Drosophila melanogaster: one gene and its partners. The protein of the gene in region 1 purifies or fractionates together with the protein of each later gene. This does not show direct contact. Each region holds a gene or a part of one and is shown on either strand. Other genes may lie near its edges.

Region 1 (5,186 bases):
CTGACAGACCGGAAATTGAACTGGCTCATTAAAGGCAATAAAAAAGGAGCTAGGAACGGAAATTCTCGTAATCATATCCAAGCATGCCCTTTGACATTCTTAAGGCGCTGCGGCTTTGGCCAACTTAGCCAAGCCAAGGCCAAGTTATTACCAAGTTGGCGTGTCGACTTAGTCGGGTCTTCGAGAGGCGAGAAAAGTTTTTGGCATTAATGCGAAATGTTTGCTGTTCAGCTTTACGGCTAGTTAGCTATTGGCAGGCAAGAAAAATGCCAAGTATAAACAAAAAGTTACAAACTCTCTAATACCCTTTAAGGTTCATAATTGTAATTTTTTGCAGACTTTCAAAGCAATTGCAAGTGGTTTTTATAAAAGAAATACAAGTGGGGACACCTAAAGGAATCCCCGTGTCTTCTAGGCCGATTTAATAGCGTTATTTTCTATTAAAATCTGCCTGTTAATCGACGCAGCATTTAAGTATCAACTTAATGACAAAACGTTTACATGCATAATTATCCAATTTTTTGCATTTTTAATTTCCTGCCTTAGATGTAGAATGCCAGGTGCCACATGCCCGCTGTGTCCCGTCTCCAGAGCTAAGTTAATGGCCCAGAAGTTGAAGTTCTAGCTGGCAGCCATGACTTGGAGTTAGACTTGGTCTTGGACTTGTTCCCGTGTTCTTGACTTGTCCAACGTCTCTCTTTGTTGGCAGTTGGCTGGCTGGCTGCTGCTGCTGTTGTTAATCATCGGCGTTGCAGCATAAAAATAGAAAGGAAATTCCATGAAATTAAAGTTTTATGCAGCCACAGCCGAGGCAGCGATCAAGTTGAAGTTGAAGTTGAGGTCTAACTCCTCGACTGAGTGTTGAACTTGCAGAGCGATGGGATGGAGCTCGAGGATGGGGCGCTGGAGCTTGGAGCTGAGAGCTGAGAGCTCGGTCTTAGCCAAACGTTTAGCGAAAGCCGCGTCTCGAAGAATGCAGTCGACTTGGCATAATCGAAAGGCATGTGAGAAAAGTTGGAGTCGGCTGGCTGCCAGCCAGCCACCAAACCGGTTCCATTCGACGCGGCTCCACCATCCCAGAGTTGGCTTAACTCAAGTCCAACTGCACCCAGGTAGCATTATGTTCTTACTTTTTTCCTCGGCTTGTTACCAGTTTTTTTTTTCGTTCGTGTTTCTGGCTTTTCTTGGAATGTTTCTGAATGGTTTTTGCTGGAGCTTTTTGCCTGAAGTTTTTATGAACTGCTGAGATTTATAATCTGACCAGGCTGCAAAGCATTGCTACCAAAAAAAAAAGAAAAAAGTGCAGCATAAATCAGGGAGCCCTTTTGGTGGAAACTCAAGATCTTGAAGAACATTCCGAGTAAATCAAGTTGAACAGCATAATTATGCAAAGCAAAAGTATCCCATAGTTTGCGGCTGCAAAAAACTCTCTTCTGGCGAAAGCGGGGGCCAAGTTGGCATTTAATTACACTGTTATTATAATATATTTTCACCCACTCTCGGTTGGTTTCGTTCTCAGCCGCCCCAAACCAATTCATTACTCATTTCAATGGGAAATTTTCCCCATTTTCCATTTTGCCTTTGCCACTTTTCTTTTTTTTCTTCGTTTTGTTTGTTATCGCAGTAATTTATGCAGTTGACAGTCAAATAATTTGGCACACAGTATACATTAAAATAAATTAACTTTACAAAAGAGCTGGGAGAAGAGTTTGTGGTAAGAATATGTGCATGCTTCGGCAGAAATTCATTGGATTTTAAACTGAAATGTGGGACTATATTTGAAATAGTCTAAATAGTCTTTATATACGATCGATTCGAAGAGTTGTAGTCATGCCAAATGATTCATCTTCGGAAACGTGAGAGACTGGAGACCAGTAGAATCCAGTCAATCGTAACTTTTTAGATATATATGTACGTATGTGCGTATGTATGTATGTGCGTTCATGTGATCCAGCCAAAATCAGCTAATTGCTAATTGTGTTTATATATTTCATTTGTTAACCCTCTCTCAACAATTGCTATGTTCAAGTGCAAACTGCAAAGATTTATTGAGTTTTTTAGCTGGGTAATTCATTCTAAATTACTGGTATCGCTATAACCTTAATGGATATACTCCCCCTGATTATTAAAATTAATGCCCCAAAACGTATTTTGAATACTTTAGCTTATTGCGAAGCAAAGTCTAGTATAGTGTTACATAGTTTGAACAGCTGTTTTTAGTTTTCTATACCAATGCATATTGAAGACGTCAAAAACTGGAATTATTACAAAAATGAATATTATGTTTTTACAAATGTCAAAGCAGCAACAACTAGCGTAAAGCTGTAAAAGAATTGCATATGTATATGCAAATCTGATTTTGCACCACAATAAACTCGTTTTGACTTGGCTTTAAATCCGAAGCTCAAGTTAAGCTCAACTTTGGCTGTTGTTACTGTTTTTTTTTTTTTTTTGGTTTTAAACATTTACCATATATATATCGGGATCGGTTTGTATTTGAGTTGCTTTTTTTGGTATATTCCAAAAAGCCGAGTTTTGTTGTCAGTCTGTTTTTGTTTTGATCACATTCGTATGTATAATTAATAAATAAATCCGGTTCGGGCCTTATATAACTTTCTTGCTCATTCAGTGGATTTTTGCCAACGTTTCGGTTTTAACTATTTATTAATTCCAAGAACACCTCGCACAGCACACAGCACACGGAATGTGGGGAAAATCGCGAAAAACCGAAATAACGACAACGCGACACCGATTAAAACGATCCCCGTGTTAAGAGCCCGGTGCCCGGTAAATGGATGGCTGGGATCGGCTTGGCCCAAAAGGCCTGGACTACTTAGGTGTTAACTTTTTTACTATGACCCCCCCGGAAATTGGAAAAAGGTTACACTATCCCTACGCGGACATTTGGACAACCGACGACGACAGTGGGCCGAAAGCGAATGGAAGCGGAGGGAAAACGGAACGCGTTTGTCCGGCAAGCGGTAAGCGGTTAGCTCGATGCGGCGGCTCAAATTGCTCTACTGTACTGGCTGACTCTGGCCGCACGCTCAGCGCTGTTTGAGTCGAGAGGAAAGAGTGCGAGCGTGCAAAGAGCGGAAGAGAGCGACAGCTGTTACAGGGTGTTTCGGCCTGTGTGTGTGTGCACTGAGAAAAATCGAACAAATTGGCCCTGATTTCAACTAAATGTGGTGTTAAGATCACTTTGAGGGAAGAGTGATCTTACTACTTTTCTATCGATTTGGAAAAGGTCGTCATCAAAGGGTATTGCCTTATTCTATTACGCGCTTTTAATACAACCTATTAAGCCATTATTATCATAGTGTTTTATTTTATTTATTATATTACAAGTTGTTAAGTCCTCTTAAAACTTTAAAGTGATTTTTTCAGTGCACCAGTACGTTTGTGGATTTGCTCAGTTCCATTGTGTTTATTTACTACCAACGACGACGTCGTTTTGCTTCTTCCATCTCACCTCCGCTCTGCTGCGTTTGTATTTGTTGTGATAATGATAAAACTGCGACGCGTTTCTGCAGCTTGTAGGTTTTCAAGAGTGGGAGTGAGATAGCAGAAGTTGAGCGAGCGAGAGTGGCGTTTAAGGTATCTCGGCCAGGTATAATCTCAGATGCGCTGCATTTAGAGATCGCGATTTGGTGACCGTGGCTTAAAAGATTTGCGGTTGGGATAAGTTGAGAAAATTCTTGGAAAACACGAGCTCAATTTTATTATTTAACTCTGGGAATTTCCCAAATGGGCCAGTGCTAAGATAATTACAAAGCCGGGTAGTTCAAAAAGGTCCTCTTATTGTTTTGTAATATCTCTGGCTCTCAGATTTATCGCTAACCCATACGCCTTGGATTTAAAGTTCGGAATTGTCTTTAGTCGTCTTTCTTTAGCAGCGCTCAAATTCTTGGAAACTTTGTAAAATAAATTATGAATTTTGCACGGGTGTAAAAATTACAAGTTTTAAGGATGTTATCTTTAAAAACTTGCGTAATAAAAATTACTAATCCCGAAAATTTTTTTGTCTTCGAAATCAGGATTTGAGATACCCCATTGAAGTGATAGAAGGGCATTCAAAACCAGTTGGTTTCGTTGGTTCTGCAGCTGCCAGTTTTTTCCACATGGAGTATGAAGAGCGAGTGGTTTGGTTTGAATGGAAATGATTATGGCACTCAAGAGAGTCATCAAAGAGAGTTACCAAAGACTTAGCTATTAACAAAATGCAAAAGATGGCTAGGTGGTTATGAAATCCCAACGGACATACAAAACAAATGAAAAGAATAAAAACTGATTAACTGAACAATAATCAAGGCTCGGTAATCAATGTATTGAACTTATCGATTTGAATTAGTTGCCCAACCTAAATTCCGTGACAACAATGGCAAAATGATCGATCGAAACCGTAGAACAAAAGAGCGCGCGATGCAAGGTCGTTCGCTCTTTAAGAGAAAATTGTACCCTAAGAGAAACATAGATAACTCCGAAAGATAAATACCCAAATGTGCGCGTGAGACAGTCATACATATAGATAATAAGAGAGTTTTCAGCAATGAAACGTGCGAAAAATTGCAATGCAGCAGCGACTTTAATCCAGGTAGCCCATAAAATCAGGTAGTAAAAAGAATGGTATCAAAACTATTGGGAGCAAACCATTGCTACCTACACATGGCACCCAATCGCGCCAACATTATCGCAATTTAAATGCAGAAAAAACAAAGTGCTGCAACTGATGAAAAAAGCAGACTTGCACTCAGAAAAAATGTAAATTCTTATTGCTATCATTTAATAATACAAATATTTCCAAATTTCATTAAAAGATGACATAAAATTTTCAAACTTTTTCGAGCTTGGGATAAGTTATTCAAAAAGTAATAAAATCAAAATTAACCATAATAAGTGCATACTTATGAATTGATTTACTCAAAACACGAGAAGATGTTAGTTATATAAAGCTTATGTCCATTATCATTTGACTCCATTACGTTAAAATTAAAGACGGTTATGCCTTTTTCCGTGTGTTAAATGTGTTAAAGCCATTACAGACATTACTCGACACTTTTAGATAAACCATAATGAAAACAGCTAGCACTGAATGAGGAGACCCCAGATCCCAGACAACCCACCCACCTCCCGTCGCAGACAAATAATTCCAGCTCCGCTGGTATGAACCGACAAAAGATAATGCC
Region 2 (5,289 bases), on another chromosome or scaffold:
ATATTGGTTGCCTGCTTGTTTGTCCAGGATGGGAACAGAGCATCCCAAACAACCCAACAGTCCAGCCACCTACACTAAAGCCTTCCTGGCTCCATCCATAGAAACCTCTTTTGTTGGACTAACCAAAGTCCTAAAATCCCACAGCTCTAAGCTAGATTAAAGCTGATTTACAAACAAGAAAATTATTTAACAAGCTTAAAGTACACGCTTTGTTTTAAAGTTTTTAAGCCGATTAGTTAATTACTGCATAGGGAAAGTGCCCACAATAGATGTCTTTAAATCCTATTCTATTTATACTTCTTGATTTCAATTTGTTACATGATTAAGTTAAGTTTTCTGTTTTTTGTTTTCGGTAATTTAATATATTTTCACTGCATTGCATGGCCTAATAAAAATGCTGCCATAAATGTTTAATATCAATAAAGCTGCGTTTTTAAAGCAAAAAGCTATTGATTAGATATTCCCAATAGCTATTGTTTATTATTTACGGCCTCATTCAAGAATTTCAATGGCCTAAATAAGCACACGACTGCTTACATCAGAAACCCATCAAATTTGGATATTTAGCCCGCCACGCCCACGAATTATTGACCATTCCAGCGCCTCAATCATCCGCCCACTCTTGAACTTTGGCAAAGAAGCGTTTGGGGAGATGGGTTTCCTGTGAAACCATAACGATAAACCTGAGCAGGCGATGTTCGCCAAAAGGACTGCGGCACCATCTTTGGGCCAACAGATACCAGATACTCCGGACCAGAGGCATCAATAGTTAAACATCAATTTGGCTTTTCCGAGTGACGTCAAGCGGGGCGAGTTGCCACCTGCCGCCCACCTCGACCTCCAGTGGATATAAAATTTCACACAGCTTAAAAAAGAGAAAAGCGGCAAAATGGAAATGCCATAAAGTTCCCACTTACAGAAAGAATGCCCATCTGCGAAATGTACCTTAAAACGTGAATAAAGACGCTAGTTTATTCTATAAATATTAACAACTTCATGGATGGATACAAATTATATTAAAACAGAGCTAAACAGATAGTAATCGAGCTTCAGGGATCTAGAAAAATTTGACACTGTTGTGTATGTGCAACTTAAACAAATTTAAATAAAATGTAAGTATTGAGACTCGTAAAGCTTAAAGTTTAAGCATAAGGTCCTCAAAGTTGTACATTTTACTGTATGATTAATAATATAATATAATTATAGCTTTTTCTCTCTGCATCAACGATATGATATAGGCATCCGTAATGAGGCATATACATATGACCAGCAACCAATTCCGCCCACATCCGTACATTTGCACTGATCCCCTAACAATACCGAAATGGGCTTTCTTGTTTGCTGAACTAACAATAATTTCATTAAGCCCAATGGCATCATTAAAATTTGCCCAACAATCATAATGGGGCCAGCTAGCAAGCGAACTGGGTACCGAATCTGCCAGAGGCTGCATAGGCAAACCTAAAATAAAAGAAAAGGAACACAGACCAAAAACAGAACCCCAGGGTACCCAAAAAAGCAGTGGAAATTTGCTGATTTAACTTTGGCAAAAGGAGACGCACACACACCTGGTTCGAGTGAAAGCCTTCGGGCCAAAAAGAAACGAACAAGTTTAAATGGCAGGGCGACAGCTTGGCCAGCAAAACGCTTTCCGCAAAGAATGAATAAAAAGAAATTGTTTCGCCCTGCAGCTTCTTACTAGCCCACTGACTCATATTATATACATATGTATATGTACATAAATATATATAGTATATGTGCATATATGCCTTACATATATGTATGTATGCATACGAAATGGATCCATCTCGTCTATATAGTATAGTCGGTTTGGGCCAAGTTTGGGCAACCAGACGGTCGCCGAGGTGCAAGAAGCGCTTGATGAAGTGCAAATGCCTGAGGTCAAGTTTAGGGTGGGGATTCTCGCACACCATCACACACTCGCACACACACACACACACTGCCTCATTTTGCGTCATATGTGTTTGCAAGTGTGTGTGAGTGTGCGAGTGTGTGTGGTTTTGTTTGCCAGTGTCTGGCGCACAGCAGCCAAAAAATTTGGGAAAAAAGTGAACAGCGTGATGCAGAAAAAGTGTAAGGGAACCCACAAAAATGGAAATCAATTCTTTGATTTTTTTATCGTGGTTGCTCCCCTTTGTCTAAGTGCAAAATGATAGAGGCATAGGAAATGGTATGTTTTTAAAGCGTTCTAGAACTTTAATTGTATTGCACTGAGGTATTTAAAATATAAAAGAAAAATGCTTAGTGTGTGGGATTTCACCTGCGTTTTTGTCTGCGTTTTGTTTTTTACGTTTTTATACTTTAAGAAAGTGAATAAAAGCAAGGATTTTATTAATAGAAACTAAAAAACCATATTTATATTCAATTTTTTTTTTAACAAGAATGAATTATTATTATTAATACTTTATAAAGGGGTAAATTATAATCTTTCAAAATATATTGATTTTGCGAGATACGGTCATAAATTCCATCACATCTCTGGGGTAACTCTTTCATAAAGTTTTTACTTCATTAGCAGCACTAAAAAACGTTCATTAAAGAAACATTCACAAAATTATGTTAATCATTCCACGTCCATTGCCTTTCCACCTCCCCATTTTCCGACCCCTTCTCTCAGCGGAAAATTGTATGGCAACTAATCAGAAATGTACGACAACTTCGGCAGAACAGTCAAAAAATATTGCACAGGGCCAATTGATTTTTTCCGCAAGATTTTCGTGACTTGCCGAAGAGCGAGTGGAAATGTTTAAGAAAATAATTATATGGAATTATGTTATTCACTGATTTGTACTCCTTTTCCGACATACAACTTCGATTTTTCCGCTTTCTTTTGTTAATTCACAGCGCAGAAACTCGATTTGCCGTTTAGCTGTGCAAAATCTTGTATATTTGTATACATATATATGTATATGTATATATATATCTATAATTATGTATTTGTTTGTAAGGCCCGGGGAGTTATATCTTCGAATCGAAATCCGCACGGCACTTCCACACAGGCGAGCGGCCAACGCGCGAGTGAAATGCCGATGCAGAGAAGTATGCTAGGGAAATTTTTCGGGGAGAATGTAGCGGAAAGCCATGGAGAAAGCTATTGAGAGCGAGTCTCGGCGAATGGAAAAAGTAAAGAGCAAGAGCGAAAAAAGAAACTAGATAATTTGAGAAAAAATGTTTTGTTCTTTTAGTAGTTTCTTAGTAGACGTTTTTAATGAATGACTATAAAAAAATTATTATTAAAAAAAATATTTTATAACAATTCATTTTAGGTAAGCTATTTTGCTATGACTGTCTCGAAAATGAAGAAATGAAAAATATAATTTTTAAAAACATTTTTTATTCCAACACGTAAACAGAGTAAGAGTAAAGTAAGAATTCTATAATCTGAAATTACAATTCCGGATCCGTTTCGATGGATGAAGGTGATCCAAATGATCCGGAACTGAGTGGGGCAGATGTTACTAAAATTCAGTCCTCGTCCAAGGATTGGAAAAAGAAAATTTCCCTTCCCCGCTCTTTCTAGCTCCAAACAGCCTGTCGTGGCCTTGTGAATATACTTCACTTTTGGAGAGAGAGCGAAAATAAAAGCCGCAGACCGGCGCTTTAGCATTGCCATCTTAGATTCAATGGATGGCAATACCTTTCTCTTTGGCTCAGCTGTTTTTTGTGGCATCTGGGGAAATGCTCTCTCGCTCTCTCTCTCTCTCTGTCCTTCCATCTATTCTCTGTTGGCCATCGCTGTCTCGCTCTTGGGTAATGGCATCTTGTGTATCGACCTTATGAGCTGCAAAAAAAGTTCTTCGGACCTGGACAAAAGTTTTTCATGTACATATGCGTATGTGTGTGAGTGTGTGCCGGACAGCGTTGCCATATTGCAGGCGCATAAATTATACCGTTAGCTTACAGATTCTAACTTTTTGTATTGCTTTGTTTTTGGGAGAGCTGCAGAGGTTTTTGCTGGGCGGAGATGAAGCCGGAAGGTGAAGCGAAGTTCTACGGAAACACACTTTCCAACATAAGAAAAAATTAAAAAAAAAAAACGAAACCAAAAAACAAGAGAAGCAACAACAGAGAAGTCAAAACACGGGCTTGTATAAATGCAAAACACACTCACCAACAGCCATTTACTAATCAACACAACAACAATAAGCACACAAACAGAAAACATGTGCGGCATACAAACACACAGACAGGACATCCTAACATATGCAGGAGTGCGTGTAACGGTAACGTAATACCTTGACAATGTCCCTCTCCCGTACGCACACACACACAGTCGCAGGAAAACAGACGCACACAGAATACTTTTAATACATTTTAAGCCGCATTTTTTCACACGTGGCCACATAACACAAGAATAAAAACAAGAAAGAATGAGACTGTCAAGTGTTGCGACAGAAAAGCTACCCACTACCAGGCAATTGAATATTTAAGTAGCATAATTTTTGGGATATGTCCTGAAAAATAGATGAATAAAGAACTTGGAGTACGCTTGTTTTTAACGAATACAGCATACCCCTTGAAAAGTACCGGGTATGCAACAACAACAACCAACATGTTGTCCTTACACACTGTTCTTTTTTGTCATTCGGAGATATGTATGTACATATGTGAAGATGTGGACTGGCCACAAAATATCAGGAAGCCTGCTCCCCAGAACAAAAACAAAGCCGCATAAAAAGGGTAGCGGAAACTGTAACACCCTCTCCATCAAAACCCCACACCAGCCACGAACTTTGTTTAGTGCGACTGGCAGTTATCATATCTGCTGGGCCGTTAGTTGGCTTTTTTCTTGTTTTACATATCGGTGTTCGGAAAAACAGAATGACCACAGGTATGAAATGGTTAAGGATATATGGATAACTCGGAAAAATTTGAATAAGAACTACACTTTGCAAGGGATATTAATACTCAATAAAATTAAATGGTAAAAACAATTTTGGGTACTAAGTATCAGTTTAAGTATCTTACCCAATAAAACTAAAATGTCCTACATTCGTAGCCAAGAAGAGTGTATTCCTTGTTTATTATGCTTTAACCTCAGGCCCTCGTTTTTTTAGTAATTTACTGTATAAAAGGGTTTTGTGTTTGTCATTCGCCAAACGAGTGTGGTAAGTGAAACCTTTTTGTTGTTGCGGCAGGCATAATTAAGCACAAAACTCGCATCAGAGTGTGCATGAGTGAGATCGCCGAAAACCGCACAACAGGAAAATTAAAATTCCAAAAAAAGCTGGCGAAAACTTAAACCCACACGAAGCAAACAATTTAATT
Region 3 (6,603 bases), 9.0 Mb from region 1:
TACCTTAAAGGATAGAACGGAAATTTATTAGCCATAAAAACAATTAAGAAGATATTTTTGGATTTCTGCTTGGAGCAAAAGGTAAAAAATTCTTAAAGCGAATTGTCGTCTCTCTTCGTCCATCCCTGTGTACCCATCCCTCGAAGTAATCATTGTATTTCAACCCAACGCTCTACTGGTCACACCAATCGTTCCACCCGCGCCCGCTAGATGGCTCCACTCTTAGGCAGCGAGAGCGAAGAAAAATCAATAGAAATTTTCATTTTAGTGAATTGCCCTGCACTTGGTAATAGTTAACAAACAAATTAGCGGCAAATCAGCGAGGCGAAGCTCCAGCGAGTTGGAGTTCCATAAAGTGCAACACGCAGGGTCAAACATTCCGCAGCCAACACCCCGGATTCCGATTCCAAGCGAAGCCAACTTCAGAAGTCAGAGATTACTCTCTCTGCTCCGCCACAGAAATTCCGCAACGCTAACCGATTTTGTCCGCTGGCGAGTAAAAAAAATCGGAAAAGTAAGCTCAAAAAAAAAGAACAGCTAACATACGCCCATTAATGTTTTTGGAGGCTTCTTCGGTGCTTTTTTTTTTGGGCAAAACGCCCTCGTCATCCAGCGGTGAAAAAAGTGACGTGACATGAAAGCAAAGAAAGAAGAGAACCGAAGAGCGCAGTGAAAAACAGAAAATAAAACGAAACGGAAAGCAAAGTAAAAAGTATACTACAGAAACAAAAGCCGGTGGTCGCGCAAATCCAAATAATAATGCCCAAGTGCACATCGACTTCGCCAGGCGATAAAAAGTGGGCGAGCGAGGTCACAGAATCTTTATCAACGGGCAAAACGCTGCCAAGTTGAAAATAAATCGGTTGCCAAAAATGCGGGGGTACACTCTACTTCCACCAGAAAATGTCAAAGTTCGCCAGCCATTGGGTGCACTGGCCGGAAAATCAATCACGTAGTCCACTATTTACCGTTTAAAAGTTCTGAGTTTATTAAACATTGGATTTTTTATACATATAAATCGTTATCAGCGCTTGATGCTCAGTGAAATGTGTGGTGCATACATATTTTGTGGCGTTTTCGTTATCAAAAGTAAAACTGCAATACGGACTTTCAAAATAGAAGCTGTATCAATGTGTTGGCATGCACAATAAGCTACTCCCTGGCTAAATACAAATTGTTATCCAAAATACCTTTTGTTTGAATAATATACGTTTGTTAACACAAATACTAAAACGTAATCATAATACTAAGTTTTCCCATTCCCACAACCCACAATAAATAGAGTATCGTTTCCCCTTTCAGGTCCCAAGGAACGGCCGAGATCCAATCGAAGTAAAAAGAGCTTTGCAGAACCAGAGCGGAGAGCAACTATATATCTTAGGGTCCGACGTCGAGTTCGAGCGATAAGAACGCCTCGAGACTCGGCCGCCATCCATTGACGATTTTCTTGCGCCCCCAGTTTGCATAAAACCAGCGAAAATTAACAAGCTAACTACCATGGCGCCGGTGCGGGGGGATGGCATGAGAGGCCTGGCCGTCTTTATATCGGATATAAGGAACTGTAAGTGCAGATCTCTTGGGTAACCAGCATTAAATCCAATTGAGCGGGTCGCAACAAGAGATTTTCCATAGGGGCGGAATCAGCGCCATTACTTGATCAATTACCAGGAGCAGCGCACTGACAAAAACGTGGGGCGGTACAAAAACGCAGGAACAGTAAGCTCTCTGCCAGATGAATTACAAAATATTGGCTACTTTTCTTCTCCATTCCTATGTAAATGTTTTCGTAGTCGTTACATTAGAAAGATATGAGAAAGTTATATATATAGTTATATATATGGGTACAACACAGCAAATAGTTATATCAATGTGAATCGGTTGCCTCTCAGTATTAATAAATACTTACAATTTTGATAGTTTGATGACTTACTGTAGTACTTCGAAGCGTGCATATGTGTGTGCGCAAGAGTCCGACGCTTCACTGTATGGTATTATTATCACAGCTCGTTGTTTGCTGTATGCTCGGTTACTAGTTTCTGGTTTGTGGACAACATATAGGAGAGCAGAGGTTCCGCTGCGGATCGGTGACTGGTACTAATTGACGCCTATGTGAATCGGAGAAAATCCGCGACATGGAGAGAGCTGAAGGGTGTGAAGTCGTCTCTCCGATCGATCAATCGCGGGGTGGAAAGGAAAGCGAAGCTTCCGCAGACGAATCACTGTTGTTTTACTGTGAATCTCCCTTATACCCGCATAAGACACAAATTTCTATACTAATATTCACCCATTTGCCCACAGGCAAAAGCAAAGAGGCCGAAGTCAAACGCATAAACAAGGAGTTGGCCAATATACGAAGCAAATTTAAAGGAGACAAAACCCTCGACGGCTATCAGAAAAAGAAATATGTCTGTAAGCTGTTATTCATATTTCTCCTCGGCCATGACATCGACTTCGGGCACATGGAGGCGGTCAATTTGCTGTCCTCCAACAAATACTCAGAAAAGCAGATTGTGAGTACCCCAAAAAATTGCTTCAATAATCATTTGTTTATTTAGCGAGTCGAAATAATTGAACTGAAAGCAGACGACTCTGCTTGTGGGAAAAGGGAATTTCATTCAATTAAATTTAACTTGTCGTTGTTTGAAGTTTGATAAAAATAATTAAAAAATTGGTTTTTTAAATTTAATGTTACTGATAAAATCTGTTTTTTGAACTTTAGGGTTACCTTTTCATCTCAGTGTTGGTGAACACCAACAGCGACCTTATTCGGCTGATCATCCAATCTATAAAGAATGATTTGCAGTCGCGTAATCCTGTGCACGTTAATCTGGCACTACAATGCATTGCCAACATTGGAAGTCGGGATATGGCCGAGTCCTTTTCCAACGAAATACCCAAGCTACTCGTCTCGGGCGACACCATGGACGTGGTGAAGCAGTCGGCGGCGCTATGCCTGCTCCGCCTGTTCCGCTCCTCGCCGGACATCATTCCCGGTGGTGAGTGGACTTCGCGCATTATCCATTTGCTCAATGATCAGCACATGGGAGTGGTCACAGCGGCCACCTCGCTGATCGACGCCTTGGTGAAGCGCAATCCGGACGAGTACAAGGGTTGTGTTAATTTGGCTGTTTCACGCTTATCCCGGATCGTAACAGCCAGCTACACGGATCTTCAGGTACGATTTAATGCATTTTTTAAGGTAAGAAACTTCTAATTACTAACTAAATTCGCATTGCAGGATTACACATATTACTTTGTGCCGGCTCCATGGCTATCGGTGAAACTTCTGCGATTGCTGCAAAACTACAATCCAGTGACCGAAGAGGCCGGTGTGCGGGCCCGCTTGAATGAAACTTTGGAGACGATTTTGAACAAGGCGCAAGAGCCGCCAAAGAGTAAGAAGGTGCAGCACTCTAACGCAAAGAACGCCGTGCTCTTCGAGGCCATCAACCTGATCATTCACAGCGACAGCGAGCCGAACCTTCTTGTCCGCGCTTGCAACCAGTTGGGACAGTTCCTTAGCAATCGGGAGACCAACTTGCGCTATCTGGCTCTGGAGTCCATGTGCCACCTGGCCACATCGGAGTTCTCGCACGAGGAGGTGAAGAAGCACCAGGAGGTGGTCATTTTGTCAATGAAAATGGAGAAGGACGTGTCCGTGCGCCAAATGGCGGTGGATCTTTTGTATGCCATGTGTGATCGTGGTAATGCCGAGGAAATTGTTCAGGAGATGCTCAACTATCTGGAGACGGCCGACTACTCTATTCGTGAGGAAATGGTGCTCAAGGTGGCCATTCTTGCCGAGAAGTACGCCACGGATTATACCTGGTAGGTGTTCTCTTTTTTAGCTTGTGCTTAAAAGTCTATGTGCTTTATGACAACCGCTATATTACCAGGTATGTGGACGTTATCCTCAATCTAATTCGCATTGCTGGCGACTACGTGTCTGAGGAAGTATGGTACCGCGTCATTCAGATCGTGATCAATCGCGAGGAGGTTCAAGGCTATGCCGCAAAGACTGTTTTTGAGGCGCTACAGGCCCCTGCCTGCCACGAAAACATGGTTAAAGTGGGCGGCTACATCTTGGGCGAGTTTGGCAACTTAATCGCCGGAGATTCCCGCTCAGCACCACTGGTACAATTCAAGCTACTGCACTCCAAGTACCACTTGTGCTCGCCGATGACCCGGGCCCTTCTTCTGTCCACGTACATTAAATTTATCAACCTCTTTCCGGAAATTCGTACCAATATCCAGGATGTGTTCCGCCAGCACAGCAATCTTCGATCCGCAGATGCGGAACTGCAGCAGCGAGCTAGCGAATATCTCCAGCTTAGCATAGTGGCATCGACAGACGTTTTGGCCACCGTCCTGGAGGAGATGCCATCGTTCCCGGAACGCGAGAGCTCAATTTTAGCAGTGCTAAAGAAGAAGAAGCCCGGCAGGGTGCCGGAGAACGAAATTCGCGAGTCGAAGAGCCCGGCACCCCTGACTTCTGCAGCGCAGAACAACGCCCTTGTGAACAATTCACATAGCAAGCTGAATAACAGCAACGCAAATACGGATCTGCTTGGATTAAGCACTCCGCCATCAAATAATATTGGCAGTGGTAGCAATAGCAACAGTACGCTCATTGATGTTTTGGGCGACATGTACGGCAGCAATAGTAACAACAACTCAAGTGCCGTGTACAACACGAAGAAGTTTTTGTTCAAGAACAATGGTGTTTTGTTTGAGAACGAAATGCTGCAGATCGGTGTGAAGAGCGAGTTTCGCCAGAATTTAGGACGATTAGGCCTTTTCTACGGCAACAAGACACAGGTTCCCCTGACAGTAAGTAAATTAGTTTCTGAAACATTCCAGGCATTACATTGCTCTCTTTTCAGAACTTCAATCCTGTGCTGCAATGGTCTGCCGAGGATGCGCTTAAGCTGAACGTGCAGATGAAGGTGGTGGAGCCAACCCTGGAGGCCGGCGCCCAGATCCAACAACTGTTAACCGCGGAATGCATCGAGGACTACGCCGATGCGCCAACAATCGAGATCAGTTTCCGCTACAACGGCACCCAGCAGAAGTTCAGCATTAAACTGCCATTGAGCGTTAACAAATTCTTTGAGCCTACCGAAATGAATGCGGAATCATTCTTTGCACGATGGAAGAACCTTAGCGGGTATTTAATAAGGTGTCTTTTGATAATATTCAATATTAATTGTGCATTTGTAGTGAACAACAACGGTCACAGAAAGTGTTCAAGGCTGCACAGCCACTGGATTTGCCCGGAGCCCGCAACAAGCTTATGGGCTTTGGAATGCAACTGCTGGACCAAGTGGATCCCAATCCAGACAACATGGTCTGCGCGGGCATCATTCATACGCAATCGCAACAGGTGGGCTGCCTTATGCGATTGGAGCCGAACAAGCAGGCTCAGGTGAGTAATTTATTGTTAGATACTTGGAACATAATGCCTATTGCCTATTTCTCAAATTATCAATAGATGTTCCGACTGACAGTTCGGGCAAGCAAGGAGACCGTAACTCGGGAAATCTGCGATCTGTTGACGGATCAATTCTAAGCCACAACAATCATGGACGGGGTGATGGAGACGGAGCTGCGAAGCCATGGAGCAACGGCAACCACTTTACAATGCACAATCCCAATTACCTAGAGAAATATCAAAGCATACAAGGCCCTAGAACTGTACGCGTTTAGTTATGCCAGGCACACTCCTACACTCTTCTTAAGTACCTTTCATCTTCTCCAACAGCGAGTTGATTTACCCACTGTCCTGTTTATTTGAATATTATGTTTGTAAACCTACTCTTACTTTAACCATTTTCAATTTCATGTTCCCAAACTTTTTTGTAAATGTTAAGCTCAAAAAGTTCATAGTAGAGAAACGAGAGAACATAATTAGATTATGTTTATATGTATGACAAATTATATATTGTTGCATCATTTCGAGGCAGTAGCAATTGGATATTATATACCTATATACAGATCTACATACATTCATACAAACCACATACATATACCTAGTATATACGTCGTTGTAATAAAAACAGAAATCAATATAAAACAAAAGAGAAAAGCTTGCAAGGGAATTATTAAGATGCCTGCAAATGACAAGTATGCAAATCGTTATCTAAATATTTATACATATATTGATTATTGCAATTGCATCTAAACGAAATTCATGTTTAATGTTTTTGATTGTAAAATCCAATGGAGGACCGCAAGAGCAGAAATCTCATTAAATAATAGACAAATAATTAGACAGATCCACAAAATCTCCTTGATTAATCACTGTTGAGCAACTTAAAATTTATTAACGATAGGAAAAATTTCCCTATTGAAGAAAACGAAGCAAAAATTTCAGAATATTATTATACTTATAGCAGAATTTTTTGAATGATTCTGGGTAATATTACGTTTCGTTTGTGTACCATAGATAAACTGAGAGGGGCTACTTCATGTTGTGCCGCTTCCTGAAGAGAAAGCGATCTTTGTAGCACCAAGTATTAACTAATCTGAAGCAGCAGCAGCAGTAGCCGCCAGCCATAAATCTGCTAATGACTCTCTTCAAATGCGAGACGGCTGCCGATAAAG
Region 4 (5,614 bases), on another chromosome or scaffold:
TAGTTTATCTGGTCTGCAAAAACCAGATCCAATGTCATGGGTCCGGTTTCCTGGATCCCTTTTCTTCGTAGCTTCATCGGGACGTTGCTCAAAGGTCGATGACTCAGATCCACGTCCTCGTTCTTTAGTAACGTTTTGTATCCCATGAGGGTGCGAAACCCCTTTGATCTTCAGGGGCCAAGCCAGTCTTTTGTTGCACTCACTTTGTGTTGTGATGACATTGGCTCTGGCTCAGGAGAAGTGAGAATGGATCCCATGGAAACATCATTAGATCGCGTTACCTTATAGCGCGTTCAATGAATGGTAGTTATGCATGGACAGGCATGGGAAAATGATGTTGAAGGTGTCGCGGCGTAGGGTAAATGTCATTAACATCATTAATATTACTGTGAGTCCTGCACATCATTGGATCAGCGAATAATGAAAACCCTTTTTCGTAAAATTTCCATTTTTATTATAAGAGAGTTTGGGAAAATCAAATGCAAATATGTTTATGGGAAAATATTACCTCTATGAAACCAAAGGATGGTTTCGTAACCTTATATACATACATATTATGTACATGAACTATATAAATTGACAAAGGTTGTGAAGCATAAATATAAATTAAAAAGTAATGCTTGAGTATTAATATTCTATTGATTTCCAAACGATTTCCCTTGTCCTATGGCTCCCTACATTGTCTTTCTACATTATAATTCTTTTGCACAGCTGTGTGTGGCTGACCCACCCAGAATTTCATGCTTGTCTGCTTTAACCTAGAATTATCACCTCCCAGTTGCTAGAATCTTCCGGTCATTGTTTGCCATCAAAGGAACAACCAGCTGATTTCAGTTGGCAGTTGTGACAAACTCACTGGAGAAAAGAAGTGAAAAAATGACAGGATGCACAGGCAGCTACCGCAGGATCAGCAGGATATCATGAGGGGGTTCTCTATACAGATTATAGATGGCCGATTGCCCAACTGCCTAGCGATATCACATGAAAAATCAATTTTCCCGACGCATTTCCATTTTCCATGCAATTCATTTAGCCTCAATTCCATTCAACTCATTGCGCAGGCGCAACTCGCCCATTTCCGACGCATTTTCCTTTAATTATGCGGGCATCGGATTTCGTATCAAATTAACGAATTATGCTGGCTGCCAGCTGTGTTGGAGCTAACGGATGAGGCAGTCCATCCAGCCATCAGCTCATATCCTTGTACTCGTAGTCTCGCAATTCTCGAAAGCAATCGCATTTACTTGTAGTCCTCGAAGGAAAGGAGAAGCCCAGGCAGATGTGAGTGAGTGTGTCTCTGTTCGTCGGCAACGGCACATTTCCCATATGTACTTAAGCCGGGGAATGCGGAACCCCGTCGTCCTATCTCCACCCCTACCCATCTTGCTACCCCCACTCCGGTCTCGAACCCTCCTCGTGCTGTCTTGAACTACAATTGCAACATTTGCGCGCGCTAAAATGAAAACATTTCCTTTATATACACGAGGCCGACGTCTTGACAAACACACAGATAAGACGAACAGGGGATCAAGAACTGTGGCACGAACTACCACCAAATAAAAAAAAAATTAGGAGTCGTATAACTCGGCTTACCTGAATTCTAGATACTCTTAAAAGAGGACATTATAGAAAATATATAATATTATATGTTTAATTTAAATTGAAAAGTGGTTAAGATCAGAAGAATTATGCCGTCTGCAAATGACTTGTCTAATATTAAATTAACATTAGAATGTTTAAGGAATATGAAATTTTTGTTCAGCTAATATCTAAAAAATCCAAAATTGTCGTGATATTATTTTCTATGTCCACTAATTATTATATTCAATGTTAATGTTATTAGATTAAAATGAAAGTCCTACGAAATGAAAACCATAAACCATTTTTCGTTTGAAGATCTCGGAAATACCCAACCTGAAATGTTGGGTATATCCCACATAGGTGAAGCAATGCAGGATCGTTGAAGCGACCCCTGCTCGAGCGAGGGTTGTTTTCTTTGCCTCCCCTGGGTCTATCTCGTTTCCACACTCTATCCATCCCTTTTCCACTCGCTGTGCCAGCTGGAGGCTATGTCTGCCTCAGGGATCTTGGACAGAAGGTGAGCTCAGTTAGGTTTTGACAGCGGAACGCGTAGGTACAGTGAAACGGGTAGCAACGGGATAGCGGGTTTAGTGTAGCACAGAACGGACCACAAAGTACAGATGAATTAAATACGACTACAGACTACTACCATATTGTTAAACAGTTTACCTAAAAATCCTAAGGAAAAGATAACCAAATTAAACCGAAAGTTAAAGTTGTGTTTATGTTTGATCGTTGAGTTATTGTTATATCGAAAGTTAAACGAGCGTTGTTAATGAGACATTGATACAAAATCCGAAAAGAATCGTTACCAAGTTAAACCGAAAGTCCAAAAAACAAATTCGAAAATGTCTTTCTCCAAGGCCAAGTTGAAGCGTTTCAACGACGTGGATGTGGCCATCTGCGGTTCGCCAGCTGCGTCCAACAGCTCGGCGGGATCGGCGGGCAGTGCCACGCCCACCGCGTCTTCGGCAGCCGCTGCTCCGCCAACCGTTCAACCGGAACGCAAGGAGCAGATCGAGAAGTTCTTCAAGGACGCCGTGCGTTTCGCGTCCAGCTCGAAGGAGGCCAAGGAATTTGCCATTCCCAAGGAGGACAAAAAGTCAAAGGGATTACGTCTGTTCCGTACTCCTTCGTTGCCGCAGCGCCTACGCTTCCGTCCGACTCCCAGTCACACGGATACGGCCACCGGAAGCGGAAGTGGCGCCTCAACAGCGGCATCCACTCCTCTGCATTCGGCAGCCACCACGCCCGTAAAGGAGGCCAAGTCAGCCAGCCGTCTGAAGGGCAAGGAGGCACTCCAGTACGAAATCCGTCACAAAAACGAACTGATCGAGAGCCAGTTGAGCCAACTGGACGTGCTGCGCCGCCATGTGGATCAGTTGAAGGAAGCCGAGGCCAAGTTGCGCGAGGAGCATGAGTTGGCTACCTCCAAGACAGATCGGCTCATCGAAGCCCTGACCAGTGAGAATTTATCGCACAAAGCTCTGAACGAGCAGATGGGCCAGGAGCACGCTGATCTTTTGGAGCGTTTGGCCGCCATGGAGCAGCAGTTGCAGCAACAGCACGACGAGCATGAAAGGCAAGTGGAGGCGTTGGTTGCCGAGAGCGAGGCACTGCGTCTGGCCAACGAGCTGCTGCAGACAGCGAATGAGGATCGTCAAAAGGTGGAGGAGCAGCTGCAGGCACAACTCTCTGCTCTTCAGGCGGATGTGGCTCAGGCCCGCGAGCACTGCAGCCTGGAGCAGGCAAAGACCGCCGAGAACATTGAGCTGGTAGAGAATCTCCAGAAGACCAATGCCTCCCTGCTGGCCGACGTGGTCCAGCTGAAGCAGCAGATCGAACAGGATGCCCTGTCCTACGGACAGGAGGCCAAGAGCTGCCAGGCGGAACTGGAGTGTCTGAAGGTGGAGCGCAACACCCTGAAGAATGACTTGGCCAACAAGTGCACTCTGATCCGCTCGCTGCAAGACGAGCTTCTCGACAAGAACTGCGAGATCGATGCTCACTGCGATACCATTCGCCAGCTGTGCCGGGAACAGGCTCGCCACACCGAGCAGCAGCAGGCGGTGGCCAAGGTGCAGCAGCAGGTTGAGAGCGACCTAGAGAGCGCGGTGGAGCGCGAGAAGAGCTACTGGCGCGCCGAGCTGGACAAGCGCCAGAAGCTGGCCGAGAACGAGCTGATCAAGATCGAGCTGGAGAAGCAGGACGTGATGGTGCTGCTGGAGACCACCAATGATATGCTGCGCATGCGCGACGAGAAGCTGCAGAAATGCGAAGAGCAGTTGCGCAACGGCATCGACTACTACATCCAGCTGAGCGACGCACTGCAGCAGCAGCTGGTGCAGCTGAAGCAGGACATGGCCAAGACGATCACCGAGAAGTACAACTACCAGCTGACTTTGACCAACACCCGGGCCACCGTCAACATTCTGATGGAGCGTCTAAAGAAGTCCGATGCGGATGTGGAGCAGTACCGAGCGGAGCTGGAATCGGTGCAGTTGGCCAAGGGAGCGCTGGAGCAGAGCTATCTGGTGTTGCAGGCGGACGCAGAGCAACTGCGCCAGCAATTGACCGAGAGCCAGGATGCGCTCAACGCACTGAGATCCTCCTCCCAGACGCTGCAGAGCGAGGTATCGTTGAAGGAGTCCTTGCTCCACGAGCTGCTAGCCGGCGAGGCGGAGACGTTGGCTAAATTCAATCAGATTGCAAACTCGTTCCAGGAGCGCATCGATGGCGACGCCCAGTTGGCCCACTACCACGAGCTGCGCCGCAAGGACGAGACGCGCGAGGCCTACATGGTGGACATGAAGAAGGCGCTCGATGAATTCGCCACCGTGCTGCAGTTCGCCCAATTGGAGCTGGACAACAAGGAGCAGATGCTTGTTAAGGTGCGCGAGGAGTGCGAACAGCTCAAGCTGGAGAACATTGCCCTCAAGTCCAAGCAACCGGGATCCGCCTCTCTGCTGGGAACACCTGGCAAGGCCAACCGCTCCAATACCACCGATCTGGAGAAGATCGAGGATCTGCTGTGCGACTCGGAGCTGCGATCCGACTGCGAGAAGATCACCACGTGGCTGCTCAACTCCTCGGACAAGTGCGTGCGCCAGGATACCACCAGCGAGATCAACGAGCTCCTGTCCGCCGGCAAGTCCTCGCCCCGTCCCGCCCCCCGCACACCCAAGGCGCCGCACACCCCGCGCAGTCCGCGCACCCCCCACACCCCACGAACACCACGATCGGCGGCCAGCACTCCCAAGAAGACTGTCCTGTTCGCCGGCAAGGAGAACGTGCCCAGTCCGCCACAGAAGCAGGTGCTCAAGGCGCGCAACATCTAGGCTATTCCTTTGTAACAACTACTCTATCGTACTATTATAAATTATATACCTTAGCTAAGATCCGATTCGAAATATAATCAATACACGTTGCACACAACACAGCCAGAGGTGTTTCTGAAATCTCTTTCGAGCACTCTCCGACTAAATTCCAAATCTGATTGTTTTCTATCTTTCGCGTTTGTGTTCTGGAAATATGGGACTTACCTAATCTCATAAAAAATATCATTTTGATGCAATGCATTTTAAGGCATGAGAAATCAAATAAAAAATCTGAAAAAGGTGTCTTGGAAAGTGAGACCTTCTTTAAAGCTATTTAAATTAAATAGACTCATCTTTGAATGTAACGAAAATAATGAGAATGCATCAATTATTTTTTCCATTTATTAGCCAATTTATTCATATAAGGTCAAATTATCTGTAAAAAAAAAAAAGAAATAAAAGGTATTCTGATCTAAAATGTAGAAGTGTACAGTATCATCACCTTGAACTTCGTTCTTAAAATACGTTATATCTTGTATATGCATTTAAAAAAGCCTGTACCTAAAGAATCAGGAAATTGTTTACGTTTTTCATACCAACCCCGTGCAACTCGTTTTTGATTTCGATGTGGTGGAATTTTCTCATGCTGAAACTCCTCGTTGAAGAATGAGAAGGAAGGGGTGTGGGCTGCCATGCAATCCGATGGATTCTTGCGA

What was found.
Region 2: the proteins of numb (region 1) and aPKC purify together in Drosophila melanogaster (affinity purification with western blotting, with the first as the bait; 2 studies listed by BioGRID). This does not show direct contact.
Region 3: the proteins of numb (region 1) and AP-2alpha purify together in Drosophila melanogaster (affinity purification with western blotting; 5 studies listed by BioGRID). This does not show direct contact.
Region 4: the proteins of numb (region 1) and mira purify together in Drosophila melanogaster (affinity purification with western blotting, with the first as the bait; 2 studies listed by BioGRID). This does not show direct contact.

Annotation. Positions count from the first base shown.
Region 1 is NT_033779.5:9,447,665-9,452,850, reverse strand, and holds the start of numb (numb), read right to left. Parts: upstream 3,022-5,186; 5' UTR 2,470-3,021; intron 2,256-2,469; 5' UTR 2,231-2,255; intron 1-2,230.
Region 2 is NT_033778.4:14,955,416-14,960,704, forward strand, and holds the start of aPKC (atypical protein kinase C), read right to left. Parts: upstream 3,042-5,289; 5' UTR 2,829-3,041; intron 1-2,828. UniProt on the Drosophila melanogaster protein: Serine/threonine protein kinase which is required for apico-basal cell polarity in the germ line as well as in epithelial and neural precursor cells, for epithelial planar cell polarity and for cell proliferation.
Region 3 is NT_033779.5:408,354-414,956, reverse strand, and holds AP-2alpha (adaptor protein complex 2, alpha subunit), read left to right. Parts: upstream 1-2,071; 5' UTR 2,072-2,132; coding exon 2,133-2,232; intron 2,233-2,298; coding exon 2,299-2,510; intron 2,511-2,719; coding exon 2,720-3,175; intron 3,176-3,238; coding exon 3,239-3,828; intron 3,829-3,896; coding exon 3,897-4,830; intron 4,831-4,883; coding exon 4,884-5,167; intron 5,168-5,220; coding exon 5,221-5,425; intron 5,426-5,491; coding exon 5,492-5,569; 3' UTR 5,570-6,081; downstream 6,082-6,603. UniProt on the Drosophila melanogaster protein: Adaptins are components of the adapter complexes which link clathrin to receptors in coated vesicles. Clathrin-associated protein complexes are believed to interact with the cytoplasmic tails of membrane proteins, leading to their selection and concentration.
Region 4 is NT_033777.3:19,931,489-19,937,102, reverse strand, and holds mira (miranda), read left to right. Parts: upstream 1-2,104; 5' UTR 2,105-2,429; coding exon 2,430-4,919; 3' UTR 4,920-5,069; downstream 5,070-5,614.